4 linked regions of the Arabidopsis thaliana genome follow. The protein of the gene in region 3 interacts with the protein of the main gene of each other region in a pairwise test. Each region holds a gene or a part of one and is shown on either strand. Other genes may lie near its edges.

Region 1 (3,469 bases), on a different chromosome or scaffold from region 3:
ACAAGCTAACCTCGGTAACTAAAAACCTCGCCTTTGTGATCATTCATCATCTTGTTTTAACAGCTTTTAAAAGCGGTTTAATCACCTGCAACTCTCTTTACTCTTCAGTTAAAGGAGTACATCGATGATACCGAAGATTTCATCAACATTCAATTGGTATACCTTGAAATCTTGATCTTTTTTAGATATCTTATTTGCTTAGAAAACCTTAAGAATCTGCTGAAAATTTCTGGAATTTGCAGGATAACGTACGGAATCAGCTGATCCAATTCGAGCTGCTGCTAACTACTGCCACATTCGTTGTAGCCATCTTCGGGGTTGTAGCCGGGATCTTTGGGATGAATTTTGAGATAGACTTCTTTGAAAAGCCTGGTGCTTTCAAATGGGTTTTAGCCATTACTGGAGTGTGTGGCCTTGTTGTATTTTTGGCATTCCTCTGGTACTACAAACGTAGAAGACTCATGCCTCTGTGAAGACATAACTACCCTGACACGTAGACGATTGTTTTACTGTTTATGTTGCTTAAATCTATACATTAATCGCCTGTGACCTTTACAAGATAAAACCCCGTGTATTTTTTTTTTGGGTTACTGAAAGATTATTAAGCAAACCATACCAGACTCATCTTGATCTTTCACTTTATGGATTGTCCTAGTCGAAACTCACAGCTCACACAACAGTATCGTAAAGGATGAATCCTTTAACTTATCGCAAATTTACATATCTTCGATAAAGAAACCTAAGTGTAGAGTGTAAAGATACATATCTGAACTGAACCACACTCTAGAACAGACATGGCTGAGTTTATAGACATGGAAACGATGATGTATGGATCCATTCACAAAATGTAGTTGACTAGAGTCTCCATCCAAGTGGGGGGAGATGACTACTTATCCGAGGATGAAGATGATGAGAGACGAGCTTTTCGAGCTTTATCAGCTTTTTCCAAGTAATCTTGGTGAGAACGATGCTTTGATCCTGAAACAAACCAGATTTACCAAACAACAAAAGCCAATAAGAGAAACAATTAGCCTATATAATGAACAAAACAAGGAGAATATTACCAAATGTCACATATAGCAAATAAGATATTTAACCATTGAGATTATGCAATTGAATCGATGTGTGATCATCAGGGGAAAAAGCAAACAAACTTGGTAAAAAATGTGATCATGCAAGTCTATTATGATCCAAACAGAATAAACATTGTGACTCATCATTATCATATAATCAAACTCTATTTGATCGACCACTTGATTGCATTTGCCAAGAAATATAAAGTTAGAAACTTTAGATTCTAAATCTTTCAGCTATTGATATCATCATCCTCTTCCATTTCGGAATCTACAGAGAAACATCTATTTATATATTTCAATCTAAATCGCCCAGAGAAAACGAACCTTGATTCATTAGATACCAAGGGATTCCGAAGATGATGGAGATAATCCCGATCCCAGCCAAAACGTGCTTCTTCTCCCCACTGTAGACATAGTGCTCCATCTTTGCCCTAATTCCTCCTCCTCCCAAATTGCTCTTGCTCTCATTTCCCATCTCGATCTCCACAGGTTTTGCTTCTTCTTCTTCTTCTTCTTCTTCTTCTTCTTCTTCTTCTTCTTCTTCTAGGGTTTATCAGGAATTAGATCCCTCTCTCTCTCGGATCTTTTAAAGAAATCTAAAATGGGCCCTATTTAGGCCCATTCATATTAGTGTTACTTTGTTTATTACCATATTAGACCCCATATTATCTATATATTCGTTTTTGACCCCATTAACTTCATATCCTCATCCCATTAAGACCATGTTTGAAATGTATTAATTTAAGCCTTCTCACTCACTCGCTATGGCCGCGATCGTTGCCATTGGTAGGAAACTCGCGCGAACGCCACAATGGCGGATTGTTCAGCATCAATCTCTGCTACGTCGTGCAGTGTCGACGTCGTTTTCGAGCTCAGTTTCCCAAAATCATTCCTTCTCTTCAGCATTTCATCGAGCAGGTCATGTGCATTCTCAAGTTTTAAGCTATCTCCCACATTTTGCCTCTTCTAATCGCTTCTCCACCAAAACCATCTCCGAAACATTTGATATCAACTTAACAGCATTGGCTCCGTTAGAAAAGGGTCTGATTGATTTAATCAGACAGGTCTCTGAGCTGGAGTCAGAGGCGGATGCCATGGCTTCTCTGGAGGACTCATCATTTGATCTAAATCATGATTCTTTCTACTCCTTAATCTGGGAATTAAGAGATGAATGGAGGCTTGCCTTTCTAGCATTCAAATGGGGAGAGAAACGCGGCTGTGATGATCAGAAATCTTGTGATTTGATGATCTGGGTGTTGGGTAATCATCAAAAGTTCAACATTGCTTGGTGTTTGATCCGTGATATGTTTAATGTTTCAAAGGATACTAGAAAGGCCATGTTTCTCATGATGGACAGGTTCGGTTTCGTCTTCTTGATAAAAGTTTCTCTTTTGTTGTGCTAAATTGAAAGATTTACTAGCTAGGTATTGAATTGGTTGTCTTGGTGACGGTGTTGATGTAGATATGCTGCTGCTAATGATACTAGCCAAGCTATTCGGACATTTGATATTATGGATAAGTTTAAACACACTCCTTATGATGAAGCATTTCAAGGATTGCTATGTGCATTGTGTAGACATGGCCACATTGAAAAAGCTGAAGAGTTCATGCTTGCAAGCAAAAAGCTCTTTCCGGTGGATGTTGAGGGATTCAACGTAATTCTTAATGGTTGGTGTAACATTTGGACTGATGTGACTGAAGCAAAGAGGATTTGGCGAGAGATGGGGAATTACTGTATCACGCCTAACAAGGACTCTTACAGTCACATGATCTCTTGCTTCTCTAAAGTTGGGAACCTTTTTGATTCTCTCAGGCTATACGATGAAATGAAGAAACGGGGATTGGCTCCAGGGATTGAAGTTTACAATTCCTTGGTTTATGTGTTGACCCGTGAGGATTGCTTTGATGAAGCTATGAAGCTTATGAAAAAGTTGAACGAGGAAGGATTAAAGCCAGATTCAGTGACCTACAACTCGATGATACGCCCCCTTTGTGAGGCTGGAAAGCTGGACGTAGCCAGGAATGTATTGGCAACCATGATTAGTGAGAACCTTAGTCCAACAGTTGATACATTTCATGCATTCCTTGAGGCTGTAAATTTCGAGAAAACTTTAGAGGTTTTAGGCCAAATGAAGATCTCTGATTTAGGTCCTACAGAAGAGACCTTTCTTCTTATTCTTGGAAAATTGTTCAAGGGAAAGCAACCAGAAAATGCTTTGAAGATCTGGGCAGAAATGGATCGTTTTGAGATAGTGGCTAATCCTGCTCTTTACTTGGCTACAATACAGGGCCTTTTGTCATGTGGGTGGCTTGAAAAGGCCAGAGAGATCTATTCAGAGATGAAATCAAAGGGGTTCGTAGGAAATCCTATGCTCCAGAAACTTCTTGAGGAG
Region 2 (4,632 bases), on a different chromosome or scaffold from region 3:
TTCATTTGTCAGATTTCTCTTTTACCTTTATAGAAGACATGATCTAATTGTTAAATAAGCATATGACCGTTCTAACGTAGAGGTTTTAAAATTTTTAAATCAACGTAAAAGCAATTAATAGGTTCAGTAGTGGAGGAGAAAATTGGATCAATGATGATAGAGGCATGGGAAGATGATGATCATGATTACACTTTCTGTGTTAATTAAAATTCATAAAAAAAAATTGTAATCAATTTTTAGACTAAAAAAGAGAGAGACATTGGCGTGCTAATGTTTGTGTGACTTTATCCTCTTTTGTGCAATGTTGTTACCTTTGTCTGTCCTTTCATTATATATGTTCTTGACTTTAGTTCTCTTCTCAATCAATCTCTTTATGTTCCACACCATTTCATAAAATTTACATCCAAATTAACACCATGCATTTCTCATAGTTTCTTGCCTCGGTAAGCAAATGTATATAATCGTGTATGCTTTTCGTTTTCTTGACTTAAAATCATTTTTTAAGGTCGTTTTAGATACAAATCATAATAGTATTAGAAATGTACCAAAGTTAATTTGAAATTGTAAAGTTATCGAAATAAACATTTTAAATTCGAATTTGGTCTTTCATGTATACAATTTGATTTAACTATAGTAATGATTATATTTTTATCTACAAAGGTAGATGAAGAAGTGCTCATATTATATATCTCTTATTGCTTACACACAATACTTACAAATCAGAAAACATGTGAAGGAGAGAGAGCTAACATGGAAGATCTTACATATACATTTAACTTCGAATCTATTTTGCTTCTGACAAAACCCATTCTTCTTTTCCCATCTTCATCTAGCTGGAAAAAGCAAATTTTACTATCTCTGACTTCCATGTGATCTAAAGAATTTACTATAAATGAGATGTGTACCTCACAGGGTTTAAGCTTGGCTTCCTTCTGGCAATGTGATCAACCTAGAACCCGAGTCATACACCATCGCGGTTCCGCAGCTAAAAACAGAGATAATCAAAGAATCAGATAGTAATATGTTACACTTTTGAAACCATATTCGAAGGTAAAATCTTACTTGGTGCATTTGACAGTGTTGGTTTTGCCGCCGCTGGAGATTGACAGAATTGTTCCAAAGAAGGAGGTGTTTTCCGTTCCACAATTCGGACAAGGACCCTGTGAAACAAGAAACATTCATAAAAAGGCTCTTTGATGTTTTTCTTTTGCAATCTTGAGTAATGGTAATGGTTCTTACCTTCAAGATCAAGAAGTCCTTGATGATCAATTTGGTGATTGATAAAGCCAGATATACAATCACAGGCACAGCAGCGAACCAAGTGAATATGAAACTGTATGGTTCTGGAAGCTCCATGATGTATGTGATCTCAAAACCTGTAATGTCGTCCAGGAAGAAAAAGCTGCAAGTACAGAATTGAATGAATAAACAAAGACGAAATATGGGTTTCATATGATTTGGATGTTTGAATAGAAAACTCGGTATAGAGACTCACAGTCCGAGAGCAACAACGGTTGCTGGAACATTCAACAATAACATTTTGAAATAATCTACAGCGAGATCACTATACACCTACATTTGAGGAAGTTCATAAAGACTGAAAATTAGTATCTATCTATAATCTAATATTAACAATGAATCTTATGTTCTATTTACCTTTTTACTACGGAGACTGCATCTTGGACCCTCGCTCACAATGTCGCTACCATCAATCTACATGGATACAGAAAGAATCATAAACTTGAAGCTTAAACCAATCTTATAAGGGTATGTCTATTTTCACTGAAGCATAAAAAGTGAATGGAAACCTTTAGTTTGAGTTTGAGCTTATCATATTCTTCATCATTCAAGATTGGATTTCCAGAAACATAAGCCATGGAAGCTTCCAAGAATCTTTGTTCATCGGAACCTGTGTTTCATATTACCAATAAAAGATTTAGGACTTTGCACCAAAGAAACCAAAACAAAGAAATGAAATTTAGTCCCATAGTTGATGATTACTTAGCATCACAACACTGCTTCCTTCCCACATTAACTCTTCTTTAAGGTTATCAAACTCTTCATTAGACATGATCGCTTTGCCATCATAATAGAAAGACTGTAATCAAAAGACAAAAGCAATTCTCAGGCTCTTGAAGATTAGATATATATCATGTTTTGGCAACTATAAAAAAAATGGTTTATTGTAGCGTTTACTTGCAACGCTTGGAGAAACTCTTGTTCCATTTCACCAATTGTTTTCTTCTCAGCCTTGTTGATGCTACAATAGGGCAAAACATTGCTATCGACGTTGTCTCCTCCTACTGGACCTTAAGGAAGACAAAAAGACTGTAATTGAGAACTTCATAGCAAATCTAAAGTTGATACCTTACTTATGCAACCTAATAGTTACACAACTTCTGACATTGCAAAACTTTAGTACAGAGTTAACCACTAAATAGTCAACAAAGTCCAATACAAACAAATATACTATACCAAAGTTATAGCCATTGAATCAATCAAACCCTTCAAAGAATTGAACTTTAACAGGATTCGAGTCTGGATACTACAAGTTAGTGACTTAAAAACATAAATTTTCAGAGCTAGAGACGTTGAATTAAAATAATATATCCTAAATTTCAAAAGGCTCAAACTTTGGAAACCCAATTGTGAACAAATTCGAATCCAAATGGCTTTGTAAACAGAAAACTAAGGCGGAGTGTTCGAAATCGAGACTAAAGTGGCCAAATCAAGACCTGATTGCTCTGTTGTGGCTTTAGCAGGCAACAAGAAGACTCTTCTTCTCAAAGAAATCGATTTTCCAGGGCTGAGCTGAGTCCATTGAGTCCTCGAAGACGGCGACGGAGGAGAAGGAGAGAAAGAAGAGGAAGGTTTGCGAGAAACGGCGGAGAAAAGTCGAGGACTTGTCAAACTAAACAACATCTTGCTACCCATTTTCCCTTAGAGATAGAAAAGGGAGCTCCTTTTTTTCCTCTGTTTTTTTCAGTAAGTATGAACCTGTGGTTGAAGATGTGTTTACTGTGAGCTTCTCAGGTTTCTTCTGATTTTTTTTTTTTTTTTTTTTTTTGGTTTTATTATAAATTTGGAGGGAAGAAATTAGGAGATAAGAGAAGTGTGGAGATAAATTCCTAGGCAGATTTCTCTTATTTTTTCCTTCCTCTCATCCTCATAATCAGAATATCCACGTCAGCATTAAATATCCGGTTTTCTTAAACAAAACAAAAACTTAAAATAGAGAAAAGACATAATTTTAGGCTTTGATTATACAATAAAAAAAATACTGTGAGATGAGTAAGAAGATTTTTTTTTCGAAACATGGTGATTTTTTAAAAAAATTTGACATGTAGTATGTGTAGTTGAATTCAGCTGATAATATACTTTAGTACAAACCATTAAAATAAAAATGAGTTCCAAATTTTAAAAAACAAACAAGATAAATAATTTAGTTTTCCAAAAGAATTATTGATCCACATACAATTGTCTATTTGAAATTGAAAACCAGTCAAATTGTTTTTTTAGTAATTGATTTCCAAACTACAAAAAGAAAATGTGGTTAGTAGAAGAACTAGTAGAGGTGAACACGTGGAGACACGCTTAAAGCACGCGACGAAGAACACGTTGATAGCGATTATGGGTTTAATTCTATTGGGCCTTTTCTGGGAGTCTAGACCCAAGCCCATATAGTAGTAATCTTTTTGACCAATCAGTCAACCCAACCATCCTCTCCCGTTGACCGTGAAGTGAGTCACGCACTTACCTCACAACAATAGCACTAACCACCGGTAGCTCTACAATGTCTCTTAGTTCGGTAACAAACTCTTCTAACTAAAAGTATAGTAAAAACTTTGCTATATAAGAAAGAGTCTTTGCACATTTCATTTACTTGCAACCAATTACAAAAAAGAGTGTAAGAAGAAAAACAAAACAAATCCATTTTTTTTATTACTCTGTTTTTTCCCCTGTTTTTAAGTTTATTTACTTCTTACTCTGTTTTCTGCTCTGTTTTAGCTTTAAACAGAAGACTAAAGAAGATGGTTGCGGTTGAAAGAGTTGAGAGTCTAGCAAAAAGCGGAATCATATCGATTCCAAAAGAATATATTCGTCCAAAAGAAGAGCTCGAGAGCATCAACGATGTTTTCCTAGAAGAGAAGAAAGAAGACGGTCCTCAAGTTCCCACAATCGATCTAAAGAACATCGAGTCAGACGATGAAAAGATCCGTGAGAATTGTATTGAGGAGCTGAAAAAGGCATCTTTGGATTGGGGAGTGATGCATTTGATCAACCATGGAATACCAGCTGATCTAATGGAGCGTGTCAAGAAAGCCGGAGAAGAGTTTTTCAGTTTGTCTGTGGAAGAGAAGGAGAAGTATGCAAACGATCAAGCCACTGGAAAGATTCAAGGCTATGGAAGTAAATTGGCTAACAACGCGAGTGGACAATTGGAATGGGAAGATTACTTCTTTCATCTTGCGTATCCTGAAGAGAAGAGAGATCTATCAATTTGGCCTAAGACACCAAGTGATTACATGTAAGCTTTGAATTGTTTTACTAAAGAAAACAAAATCTTGTTTTGGTTTTAGAATCTTTTATTAACGTTTTTCGATGATTGTAGAGAAGCAACGAGTGAGTACG
Region 3 (5,832 bases):
CAAAACTGAAGAAGTTTTTTTATTTAATTTTTTGTTCACAAGTTTTTATTTTTGTATTAAAATTGGTAACACTTATGTCACAATCTATGACCAAACGCAAAAGTCACTAAAACAGTGACAAATTGTGTCATCGTTGTTACAAAATTCTCGTAACTATACATGACATAAATTCAGTCACAATTATCGTATAATTTAGTTACTATATTTGGTCGCAAATCCGTACTTATATTTATGACTATATAATTTGTAACAAATTTGACATAATTAGTGACAAACATTAGTTACATTCAATTAAGTCATAATATTATAACGAAATAGTAACGTTTTTATGACCAAATAAATACGTCACAATTTTGTATGAAAATGGTCACAATTTTCTGACGAAAATAATGACCGTAATTTTTTCGTAAGAATATCGATTTCTGACCAGACGCTCTTCAATATCCGTTAGTAGTTGTGACACTTGAATGTGGTTTTGGACATGTCACCAGAAACTTGTCTTCAAGTGGTCTAACTGGAACCATGGCTGCTGCGATTCAAAATCTTACGCAACTAGAAACTCTGTAAGTAAGCTTGAATAATATACATACCGTTGCGTTTAAAAAAGCTACTCTCCAGCGACCGTGTTTCCAGCACTCCAAATTCATTATTTTCTGTTTAATGGGCTGATAAAACCCATGTTTGGCCCATAACAATTATTTCTGTTATTATAGCAACGTTGAAAAATATACATACCGTTGCGTTTAAAACGCTACTCTCCAGCACTCCAAATCGCCAATCGCGTTCTCAAACAGTGCTAATCGCCGATGAAGAGGTCTCATTGTCATCGCCGTCCTTCTCACGACGGGAGATTTCGCTGCCGTATATGGCCGATTTATCTCCGGAGATTCCTCACATTCGTCCTCCTCCTCACAAAAGTTATTGGGCCGGCTCAAAGAGATGGAATCAAAATTCTCTCAGTTTCATGGCCGGAAGGTAATTTCTCAGTTTATGATGTAACTGAAAATCCTTTAAAAATTTGAACTTTATGATTTTAGATATCTGATAATGGCGTCTTTGTCTTGAAATTTGTTTCTTCATGTTGACCCACTTCTCTTTAGATAATAGTCATTGTTGATAAATGTGAATCCTCTGCTTTGTGATTAGAAGCTGTTCTTGTCGATGAAGACGTCAAAATGTGTATTAATTAGTGATAAATTATCCGATATGATTCAATCAAAGTCACTGACCACTAGAAAGTCAAATCTCTTGCTTTCTCTCTGTGTGAACATTTTTTAATGCGTTAAAAGAGTGGTGACTGTAAAACCCTCTATTGACATATTCTCTTAAAAACACAGAAGTTGCATATTATTTTTTCTAAATACAAGTTGCATATATTCTGACATTCTTGGGACAAATCAAATTTGTAATTGTAAAGTTGCAATAGAAAACACATTTACTCATTCGTTTCACTGACTCAGGACATCTTGCCATGTTGCCAGAGGCTTGGACTGTTTCTTGGGTTTATCTATTTATACGCTGTGTTTCTCTCAAACTCTGGCATTGGTAAGGTTTTGATATCTAAAAGCAATTATGGATAGTCCTTGTTGGCTTTTGCTGCTGCTATTAGGAGCTTTTGCCATTATTGGTTGTGTTCAAGCTCAGGATCAACAAGGTACCTAAATCTTAATGGTTTATATGTATATTACACTACTACTTCTTACTGATTCGAGTCTTAGTTATGTTTGTATCTGAGATGCTTTTGATTTTTCACTCTCTTAACAGAGTTTATCAGTTTGGATTGCGGGTTACCCATGACTGAACCGTCTTCTTATACTGAGTCAGTAACCGGACTACGGTTCTCGTCTGATGCTGAATTCATCCAGACTGGTGAAAGTGGTAAAATCCAGGCGAGTATGGAGAATGACTACCTTAAGCCGTACACGAGGCTGAGGTATTTTCCAGAGGAGAGAAGGAACTGCTATAGTTTGAGTGTTGACAAGAACAGGAAATATTTGATCAGGGCTAGGTTCATTTATGGGAATTACGATGGTCGTAACTCTAACCCGATATTTGAACTGCATCTAGGACCTAATCTGTGGGCAACTATAGATTTGCAAAAGTTTGTGAATGGTACAATGGAGGAGATCCTTCACACTCCAACATCAAACTCTTTGAACGTTTGTCTTGTTAAGACAGGGACAACTACACCCTTGATCTCAGCCTTGGAATTACGGCCATTAGGAAATAATTCTTATCTCACAGATGGTTCTTTGAATCTTTTCGTTCGGATATATCTCAACAAGACAGATGGCTTTCTTCGGTAAGTGTTTTTTTTTTGGTTAACAGTGATGGATTCTATATTCCTATACTCTTTATTTTTAACATTCCTATACTTATTCAAGGATAATACAACCTTTGTTCCACATAGGTACCCGGATGATATTTATGATCGCAGATGGCATAATTACTTTATGGTGGATGATTGGACCCAAATTTTCACCACTCTCGAAGTGACCAATGATAACAATTATGAACCACCAAAAAAGGCTCTTGCAGCGGCTGCCACGCCTTCTAATGCCAGCGCGCCATTGACAATCAGTTGGCCACCAGACAATCCTGGTGACCAATATTACTTGTACAGCCACTTCTCTGAGATACAAGATTTACAGACCAATGATACCAGAGAATTTGACATATTATGGGATGGAGCTGTTGTTGAAGAAGGTTTCATCCCTCCAAAGTTAGGGGTGACTACTATCCATAATCTTTCTCCAGTGACATGCAAAGGAGAAAATTGCATTTACCAGCTAATAAAAACCTCGAGGTCAACTCTTCCTTCTCTACTTAACGCTCTTGAAATCTACACAGTTATCCAATTTCCACGGTCGGAAACAAATGAAAATGATGGTATGTTACTTATCTTCATTGTTATGCAGATACAGTCTGTTTTTTTTTTTTAACTAGAGAAATCAACTTCACCTGCTAATTCTCACATCCTTGAGCTCTACATCAGTGGTTGCTGTTAAAAATATCGAAGCTGCCTATAAATTGAGTAGAATCAGGTGGCAAGGAGATCCTTGCGTCCCTCAAAAGTATGCGTGGGATGGTTTGAACTGTAGCAACAACACAGATGTTTCTAAACCTCCAAGAGTATTATCCTTGTAAGTCGTAAGATCCAAGATATGAACATGCACACTTTGACACTTATCTTCAAAATAAGTTAACTATCATGCTTTGGAATCACCAGAAATTTGTCTTCGAGCGGTTTAACTGGAATCATTGCGGCCGCAATTCAAAACCTTACACATTTAGAAAAACTGTAAGTATGGCCATAGTTAATATTGGTTTTGTTGATGGAGGAAAACCTAATGAGCTCTACTTTATTTTGGAAATAAACTTTTAGGGACTTGTCAAATAACACACTAACTGGAGTGGTGCCGGAATTTCTAGCCCAGATGAAATCGTTGGTGATCATGTAAGTTGCTCAGCATATTTTCGTTTACTTTCAGTTCTCCTTTGGTTCATGTGTCTGTATGCATGAAGATTGCTCTTCTTTAATAGAAACTTAAGCGGCAACAATCTTAGTGGTCCCCTTCCTCAAGGTCTTCGAAGAGAGGGACTAGAATTACTGTAAGAAACTTCCCACGTACTTTTTAATATTCCACAGTTATTTTCCACAGCCCTTTTGTGATTTGATGTTTTTAACAACACTCTTTTTCTTGCAGAGTTCAAGGCAACCCAAGGCTTTGTCTCTCTGGTTCCTGCACAGAAAAAAACTCGAAGAAGAAATTCCCGGTGGTGATTGTTGCATCAGTTGCTTCTGTGGCCATAATTGTTGCTGTGTTGGTTATTATTTTTGTTCTCAGTAAGAAAAAGTCATCTACTGTGGGAGGTAATTTGCAGGAGATCTCTCATCAAATCAAGAAACTGCAACAAATCGATGAATTCTTACATACCCTACTTTTTTTCTTTCTTATCTATAGCTCTACAACCTCCACTGAGTATGCCAATGGTTCATGATAATTCACCTGAACCATCAATCGAGACGAAAAAGAGAAGGTTTACTTATTCAGAGGTTATCAAAATGACGAATAATTTTCAAAGAGTTGTAGGGGAAGGAGGATTCGGTGTTGTTTGTCATGGTACTATAAATGGTTCTGAACAGGTGGCTGTTAAAGTTCTCTCTCAATCATCAAGTCAAGGATATAAGCATTTTAAGGCAGAGGTATGCATAATCTTCTTAAAAATATGACCATCTAACGCTTTCTCTTACTTTTATTTCCCATGAATGATTAGGTTGATCTTCTTCTACGAGTTCACCATACAAATTTGGTGAGTCTTGTTGGATATTGCGATGAAAGAGATCACTTGGCTCTCATCTATGAGTTTTTGCCCAAGGGAGACTTAAGACAACATCTATCTGGTAAACTTGAATTTCTTCATGATTCGAAAGTGTATATATGTTTCAACGTTCCCAAGGATCTAAAGAATCAAGTATTCAGGAAAAAGCGGTGGGTCCTTTATCAACTGGGGTAATCGTCTACGAATAGCTCTGGAGGCTGCACTAGGTTCGTAAGCTTATTAGCCAATATTGGCAGCTTAAAATGACTTTCCTTCTGGTGGACTAACAAATAATCATTCCTTTGAATAGGATTGGAATATCTACATTCTGGATGCACACCACCAATTGTACATAGAGATATAAAAACGACAAACATATTGCTGGACGAACAGTTAAAGGCCAAGCTTGCCGATTTCGGCCTTTCGAGATCTTTCCCTATTGGAGGTGAAACACATATTTCAACTGTGGTTGCTGGTACTCCTGGATACCTTGATCCTGAGTAAGTGTCGTTAGTTACCATTACAATGTGCTGAAAGTGAGTTGTCATTTTGCACTTTATATATTGGTTAGAGAGTATAACCATGTACTTTTGCCGTGCAGATATTACCAGACAACTCGACTGGGTGAGAAGAGCGATGTGTACAGCTTCGGAATTGTGTTATTGGAGATTATCACAAACCAACCTGTGATTGACCAGTCCCGTTCAAAGTCTCACATATCACAATGGGTTGGATTTGAGCTTACCCGAGGAGATATTACTAAGATCATGGATCCAAACCTGAACGGGGATTACGAATCTCGTTCTGTATGGAGAGTTCTTGAACTGGCAATGTCGTGTGCGAATCCTTCTTCTGTGAACCGACCAAACATGTCCCAAGTTGCTAATGAACTGAAAGAATGTCTTGTTTCTGAAAACTTGAGGGAAAATATGAATATGGACTCTCAGAATTCTCTTAAAGTGAGCATGAGCTTTGACACAGAGTTGTTTCCGAGGGCAAGGTAGTATGTGCTGCAGGTAACACAACCATGCTAATTAGTTGGGCTATTGGTCATGTTTGCTTTGATCATCCACATGCCAAGATCATATACCCTGTTACTTGGTGATGTTTTCATTATTTTATGTGTGCTTAGTGATGTTTTCATTCTTTGTATGTGTGGCTTGGATGCTAATAATCATTGACCGTAAAAGAGTATACCTCTTTGTGGTTCCATCATTAACAAACAAATGATTTTGGTTAAATATTTGTAAAATGGTTGGAAGAGTATTGATTTAAAACTGTCAAATAGTATATAAAATTAAAGAAACAGATTATGGATTGTGATTTCTCAACATACATTTATCTGTACTCTGAAATTATTAGGCTCACCATTCACTTAAGGCTATGTCAAATATAATTGATGTGATAGTTTATTGCTTAACGTGCTTCTGGGTCTGCTCCATATCTTCCATGATTGAGTTCATGATAGTGATGTTGGGACTTTGCTGTCCTCTTTTTCTTATTCATTTT
Region 4 (5,223 bases), on a different chromosome or scaffold from region 3:
CTAAGAGGAAGAAGTCTGAAAACCCTATCAAGGCCTCCCCGGCTCCTTCAAAGTCTGCATCAAAAGAGAAGCCAGGTTTGGTCATTATCCTGTTTTTTTCTTCCAGTAAGATGGTCGCTTAGGTAGAATAAAAACATGTTGGGTGTAGTGTATGTCAGATGCATTGGAGAATCTTATTCCTTATATCTTCATTTTCAGAAGCGAACCAATATACAACCACTAATGTTTTCTGACACCATGTTTATCTCTGTTTGTGTCTATATGCTAAAAGTAAAAAGGGCTGGAAAAGGGAAAGACAAGCCGAGTGATAAAGTGCTGAAAAATGCAATCGTTGAGATCTTGAAAAGAGTGGACTTTAGTACGGTGAGTAATTTCTCAACCTTTTATATGCGATACACTTAACTACTTGGGATGTGTGTGGAATAAAACAAAATTGGATTCTGCCGAACAAACTTATTGGTTACATGAAATAACCTTCGTTTTCTGAAAGCTGATTTGAAGTTTGTTGTGCAATATCTATTCAAACTGTGAATTTCCTTCTATACCTAGATAACCTAATAAGAGCATTGTTGTTCTTCTGCAGGCTACGTTCACGGACATCCTTAAAGAACTTGGTATGAACAGATTGGTTTCAGTCATTTGTTTTTCCAGTGATTCCTGGTTATATATAAAATAAACACATTGTTTCATCCATCTTTCAGCTAAGGAGTTCACAGAAGATCTCACTCCAAGAAAGTCATCTATAAAGATGATAATCCAAGAGGAGCTCACCAAATTAGCAGATGAGGAGGAGGAGGAGGAAAAGAAAGAAGAGGATTCAGAGAAGGAGGAAGCAGGAGGGTCTGGTGGTGGTGAGGAGGTGAAAGCCTAAACTCCTTTCTGATCACATCGCACATATTGAGTCTCTCTGTCAGATACTGTTGCCTAATGCCTAGTAGTCATCTGGCAAATGTGTAAGTTAAATCTGTGGATGTAATATTTTGTTGTTGGAGTCTGAACTGCGTAAAGCAGCTTTACTTTTGGTAGAGACAAGAGGAAGAAGCTGCATAGCCAAAGGATAGGTTGCTTGTATGTCTATAGCATTTAACATAAAAGCCTCCTTGGATTGTCTTTGATTTGTGAGGCTCCCTTTTCGAGACATTGTCAAGGTTTCTTTTGTTTATGTCTTTTGGTTTGAAGGAGGCCAATGGTAATAAATGAATAATATGTTTCTCTTGATTCCCTTTAAGACTTTGAATATTGCAGAAGGAATTTATGCTCATCTTGTATCCTTGATCTATCTCTAACATATCTGCAAATCTACCAACGCAAATCCAGTCTAAGAAATGTAGGAATTGGTACCTCATAAACATATACAACAAAGATTAACATTGATGAAGAAGAGAGTCTGTATTCTTACAGGACCAAAATATACAGAAAAGAATCTGTGCTCTTCTTCTACATCCCCTTTTCGGACAACCCAAACACAAGTTCCAAAAGAATGTAATTGCTGTTGTTACATTCAGAGTACCTAAATAGATTGCAATGGAGACACTGCAAATACATAGAATTCAAAGCAGATGGCTAAACATGGTTAACTATAAGCATAAGCAACACTTGTCCAGGCTTTTATCATTCTGGCTGCAGCTACTATTATCTTATTTGATGTACTAGATTCGAAAAGACCTGTCACACACACAAAGGCAAAAGTACCGGTCCGATTGCAAAATAGAATATCGATTAAGGAGTAAACCGGAATAAGAGTAACGGAATATACTTGACAGACCTCTCTCAGTAGAAGAATCACTGAGAAACTTTCACTTCTTCTTCGTCTCCGTAGTTTCAGTTTCGATCTGTAAAGTTTCAAACTTGTGGTCGAATTTTTAAATGGGAAGTGGAAGAGATAGAGACGACCCTTTATCCTTCACCAGCAATCCATCTACGGCGTCGTCTCCAGTCACTGTATCTGACTATCTCGACAACTTTCTCGGCGAACCCACTTCTCGCTCCGGTAGTTTTCAAAGCGAGAGCTTACTCGGTGGAGGCGGTGGAGAAAGCATCAACGACGCTGATTTTGGATTCGCTCGTCCTGATTTCCGATCGGAACAACTAGCTGGAACCGTACAGTTTTACGAGAGGCATGTCTTCTTGTGCTACAAAAAGCCATCTGTTTGGCCCGCAAGGATCGAGGCTGCTGAGTTCGATCGATTGCCTAGGCTACTCTCTGCTGCTGTATCGGCCAGAAAGGGTAGCATGAAGAAGGAGGTCAGCTTTTTACTCTACTATTTTCTGATTCCATTGATTCAGCTTGTTCGCTGTTAACTTGCATCTCCTGTTTCCAAGTATATTGCTTGATTCTCATAAATCTAGGTCTGATTGTTTCCAATAAGTCTCCCAAATAAGCAAAAAGCATTTGCGTTCACTTGTTTTGGCTTACTTAAAGTATCTGTTTAAGGTCGTAATGAGTCATAAAAACTCTTGCCTGGTGACTCTTGGGATTTCTGTATGGGTCAAATAAGGCAAAGTTTCTATTTTTGGCACGATTCTATGGCTAACAACATAATAACTTGTCTATTGGCTTCAAGATGGGATCTTAGGACTTGCACCTCCGTTTTTTGAGCTATGACAGTGGTGAACTTAAGTGGAAATGGTGTCTGTAATGGATTGCTTCTTTTCGGATAGTCTCATGATGATGCCTTCATGATTGTCTTTTGCTTTGTGCCTCATGTTTTTTTTTTTTTTTTTGGCCATTGTTTCGTAGACTCGACTCACAATATGTGAGGGGCATGATGGAACAGAGACATCCAATGGTGATGTACTTATTTTTCCTGATATGATCAGATACAGGTAAGGGGTGAAGTCTTCCTAGTTGGAGATTTCTTAGATTTGGTTTCGTTTTTTCTATCAACAGTTGGGACTTTTTTTTGACAGTTTTGATTTAACAAAAATTGCAGGAGATTGACTCACTTTGATGTGGAGACCTTTGTGGAAGAGGTGCTTGTGAAGGATGGTGAATGGCTGCCTGGAAATCCTGAATTGCTGAAAGGCTCATATGTCTTTGTATGTTCCCATGGATCCCGAGACCGGCGATGTGGGGTTTGTGGGCCGTCGCTAGTTAGTAGATTCAGAGAAGAACTTGAGTTCCATGGTCTTCAAGGTAAAGTGTCAATTAGCCCATGTTCTCACATAGGTGGTCACAAATACGCTGGGAATGTTATCATCTACCGATCAAACATCAACAGGGAAGTCACAGGACACTGGTGAGTAAGGAATTACGGATTTATCAACTAGTTTGAGGCTATATTCATCTTTTTCATGTGGTTTTACAATAATTTTGAATGAGAAGATCAAGAATACATTTGTAATGGTGTTGGTTTCATGAACGGTTGTGATCTTTTAATTGGTATCTTCAAACTTCAGTTGTTATTAGTACATTGGAAGTTCTCTGCAATGTCTGAATCAATCATACCCTGTTTTTGACTTGATGATTGAATCATTCTTGTGTCTAGGTATGGGTATGTGACCCCAGAAGATGTACCTATTCTTTTGGAGCAGCACATCAACAAAGGCGAGATTGTAGACCGGCTATGGAGGTACGTACAAAGTTTTCTTGTTCTGTCAGTTTTCTCGCAGTTTCCGGATTAGTGGTAATTGGTAGATTCACACATGATGCTTCTCTGATTATTAGGGGTGAAATGGGTCTATCAGAAGAAGATCAGAAGAAAACTCAAGAAGGGCGATTTCAGCTAAATGGTACAGTCCATTCCGTAAAGATCAATGGGAAAGTGAGTCAAGAATCATCGGTTCACAACGCCGATGTTTCCTGTTGCCAGTCACGAGCTGCAGAACCTAATGGTTGTTGCCAACAAAATGGGAACAGCTCTTCATGTTGTCAAGACGACACTACTCTGATGTTGTCACTGGGAACATCAGAAGATAATCAACTTGAAAGTGAAAACAACACTGAGAAGCTGACACCAGGAAGAAAAATTGCAGAAAAGACTTTCTTTAGAATTAATAGTGACAAAGGATCTTCGACACGTAAGGTTTGCGGAATACCAACATGGTTAGAGAGCTGGGAGCGAGAAGATACTTATGCTGCTCTTGCTGTTGTCTGTGCTGCTGCTTCCGTGGCTGTTGCCTATACTTGCTACAAACAGTTGTAACGAAGAAATTTGTAGCCCTAAGATGATTGTGTATTGTGTTCTTATAAGACATTGTGATTTTGTTTCTGCTTTCAAACTACATTTTCCTTTCGATTTAAAGGAGGGTTCTTGTCAGAACTGTTTGATGATATGTATCCTGTTAACTCTGCTTCTGCTTCTCAAGATTCTTAGAACCGAGTGTTATTGCTAAAATATCTCAGCTTTCGCAATTTCTGATTTAGAAAAGTAGCTTAGGGCTTTTAAGCTTCTTTGCGTTGCAGGTAATCACAAAACCATCTCAGCGTGAACTCTCAAGAATGGCATTGACAAAGAATTAAAAAGAGTTATCACATTTTCAAAATACTAAACGTATTTGCAGATCGCCAAGAACAAATTGATAAATCTAATGGCAGTTTTCTTGCTGAAATATGTCAAAAGAAATCGAACTCCAGATAATTACTCTGGTCAGACTTGACACTAGTAGATGTGGCTGCTGCTGGAGTAGCAGGCGCACTCTCATAATCAACCGGTTTTGGTATCTCTGGTGGGCTAGCGCATCGAACCAATGCCCAATTCACTCCTTCAAAGAAAGGATGTTGCTTCATCTCAGTTGCACCACGCTTATACGCTAATCTATGCTGAGGCTCTTTCACAAGCAGACTCCTAATCAAATCCCTAGCAGCAAAACTGACAACTGGAGATTCTGGGAAACGCAGAGGCTGACCCACAACGTTGAAGAGTGTTGCTCGGTTTCCTGACCCTTTAAACGGGGTTTTACCAAACAATAGCTCATACAAAAAGATCCCAAAAGTCCACCAATCAACCGCACTCCCATGCCCTTCACCTTTGATGATCTCAGGAGCTAAATACTCATGTGTGCCAACAAATGACATTGAGCGAGCACTTGTGGGCTCAGCAACGAGCTCGGGCAATGGACTTACCTGGTTTCCAGTTTCGTTTTTCATTTTCTTGTCTTTCTTGGATTTACTTGAGAAATAACGTGGAGAAAAGCATGTTGTAGGAGCAGAAATGCAAGATGGCTGTTGGATGCAAGCAGGTTGCGCACAATAACCCGAGTTCTTTTGCCCTTCAGACGCAA

Evidence for each region.
Region 1: the proteins of AT5G59650 (region 3) and AT1G80890 interact in a protein complementation assay, tested with the Arabidopsis thaliana proteins (one large-scale study listed by BioGRID).
Region 2: the proteins of AT5G59650 (region 3) and PGR5-LIKE A interact in a protein complementation assay, tested with the Arabidopsis thaliana proteins (one large-scale study listed by BioGRID).
Region 4: the proteins of AT5G59650 (region 3) and AT4G26620 interact in a protein complementation assay, tested with the Arabidopsis thaliana proteins (one large-scale study listed by BioGRID).

Annotation. Positions count from the first base shown.
Region 1 is NC_003070.9:30,395,293-30,398,761, reverse strand, and holds AT1G80890 (GAG1At protein), read right to left. Parts: upstream 1,635-3,469; 5' UTR 1,552-1,634; coding exon 1,401-1,551; exon of another isoform or gene 979-1,400; coding exon 887-978; 3' UTR 552-886; downstream 1-551. Other genes in the region: MGT1 (magnesium transporter 1), read left to right, coding at 1-14, 109-156, 243-473; AT1G80880 (Tetratricopeptide repeat (TPR)-like superfamily protein), read left to right, coding at 1,841-2,433, 2,539-3,469.
Region 2 is NC_003075.7:12,005,459-12,010,090, reverse strand, and holds PGR5-LIKE A (PGR5-LIKE A), read right to left. Parts: upstream 3,106-4,632; 5' UTR 2,935-3,105; coding exon 2,736-2,934; intron 2,310-2,735; coding exon 2,197-2,309; intron 2,099-2,196; coding exon 2,002-2,098; intron 1,910-2,001; coding exon 1,809-1,909; intron 1,714-1,808; coding exon 1,657-1,713; intron 1,573-1,656; coding exon 1,496-1,572; intron 1,403-1,495; coding exon 1,240-1,402; intron 1,161-1,239; coding exon 1,063-1,160; coding exon of another isoform or gene 1,059-1,062; exon of another isoform or gene 986-1,058; coding exon 916-985; 3' UTR 906-915; intron 834-905; 3' UTR 555-833; downstream 1-554. Other genes in the region: LDOX (leucoanthocyanidin dioxygenase), read left to right, coding at 4,032-4,528, 4,613-4,632. UniProt on the Arabidopsis thaliana protein: Ferredoxin-plastoquinone reductase involved in cyclic electron flow (CEF) around photosystem I. The homodimer is probably not involved in CEF.
Region 3 is NC_003076.8:24,029,774-24,035,605, forward strand, and holds AT5G59650 (Leucine-rich repeat protein kinase family protein), read left to right. Parts: upstream 1-1,572; coding exon 1,573-1,654; intron 1,655-1,764; coding exon 1,765-2,302; intron 2,303-2,410; coding exon 2,411-2,866; coding exon of another isoform or gene 2,867-2,889; intron 2,890-2,948; coding exon 2,949-3,143; intron 3,144-3,229; coding exon 3,230-3,301; intron 3,302-3,385; coding exon 3,386-3,457; intron 3,458-3,543; coding exon 3,544-3,612; intron 3,613-3,707; coding exon 3,708-3,874; intron 3,875-3,965; coding exon 3,966-4,207; intron 4,208-4,278; coding exon 4,279-4,405; intron 4,406-4,484; coding exon 4,485-4,550; intron 4,551-4,633; coding exon 4,634-4,823; intron 4,824-4,924; coding exon 4,925-5,327; downstream 5,328-5,832. UniProt on the Arabidopsis thaliana protein: Required for accurate photosynthesis.
Region 4 is NC_003075.7:13,426,521-13,431,743, reverse strand, and holds AT4G26620 (Sucrase/ferredoxin-like family protein), read left to right. Parts: upstream 1-1,694; 5' UTR 1,695-1,866; coding exon 1,867-2,244; intron 2,245-2,740; coding exon 2,741-2,826; intron 2,827-2,933; coding exon 2,934-3,239; intron 3,240-3,488; coding exon 3,489-3,572; intron 3,573-3,667; coding exon 3,668-4,145; 3' UTR 4,146-4,555; downstream 4,556-5,223. Other genes in the region: AT4G26630 (DEK domain-containing chromatin associated protein), read left to right, coding at 1-75, 272-363, 584-614, 702-871; D6PKL1 (D6 protein kinase like 1), read right to left, coding at 4,556-5,223.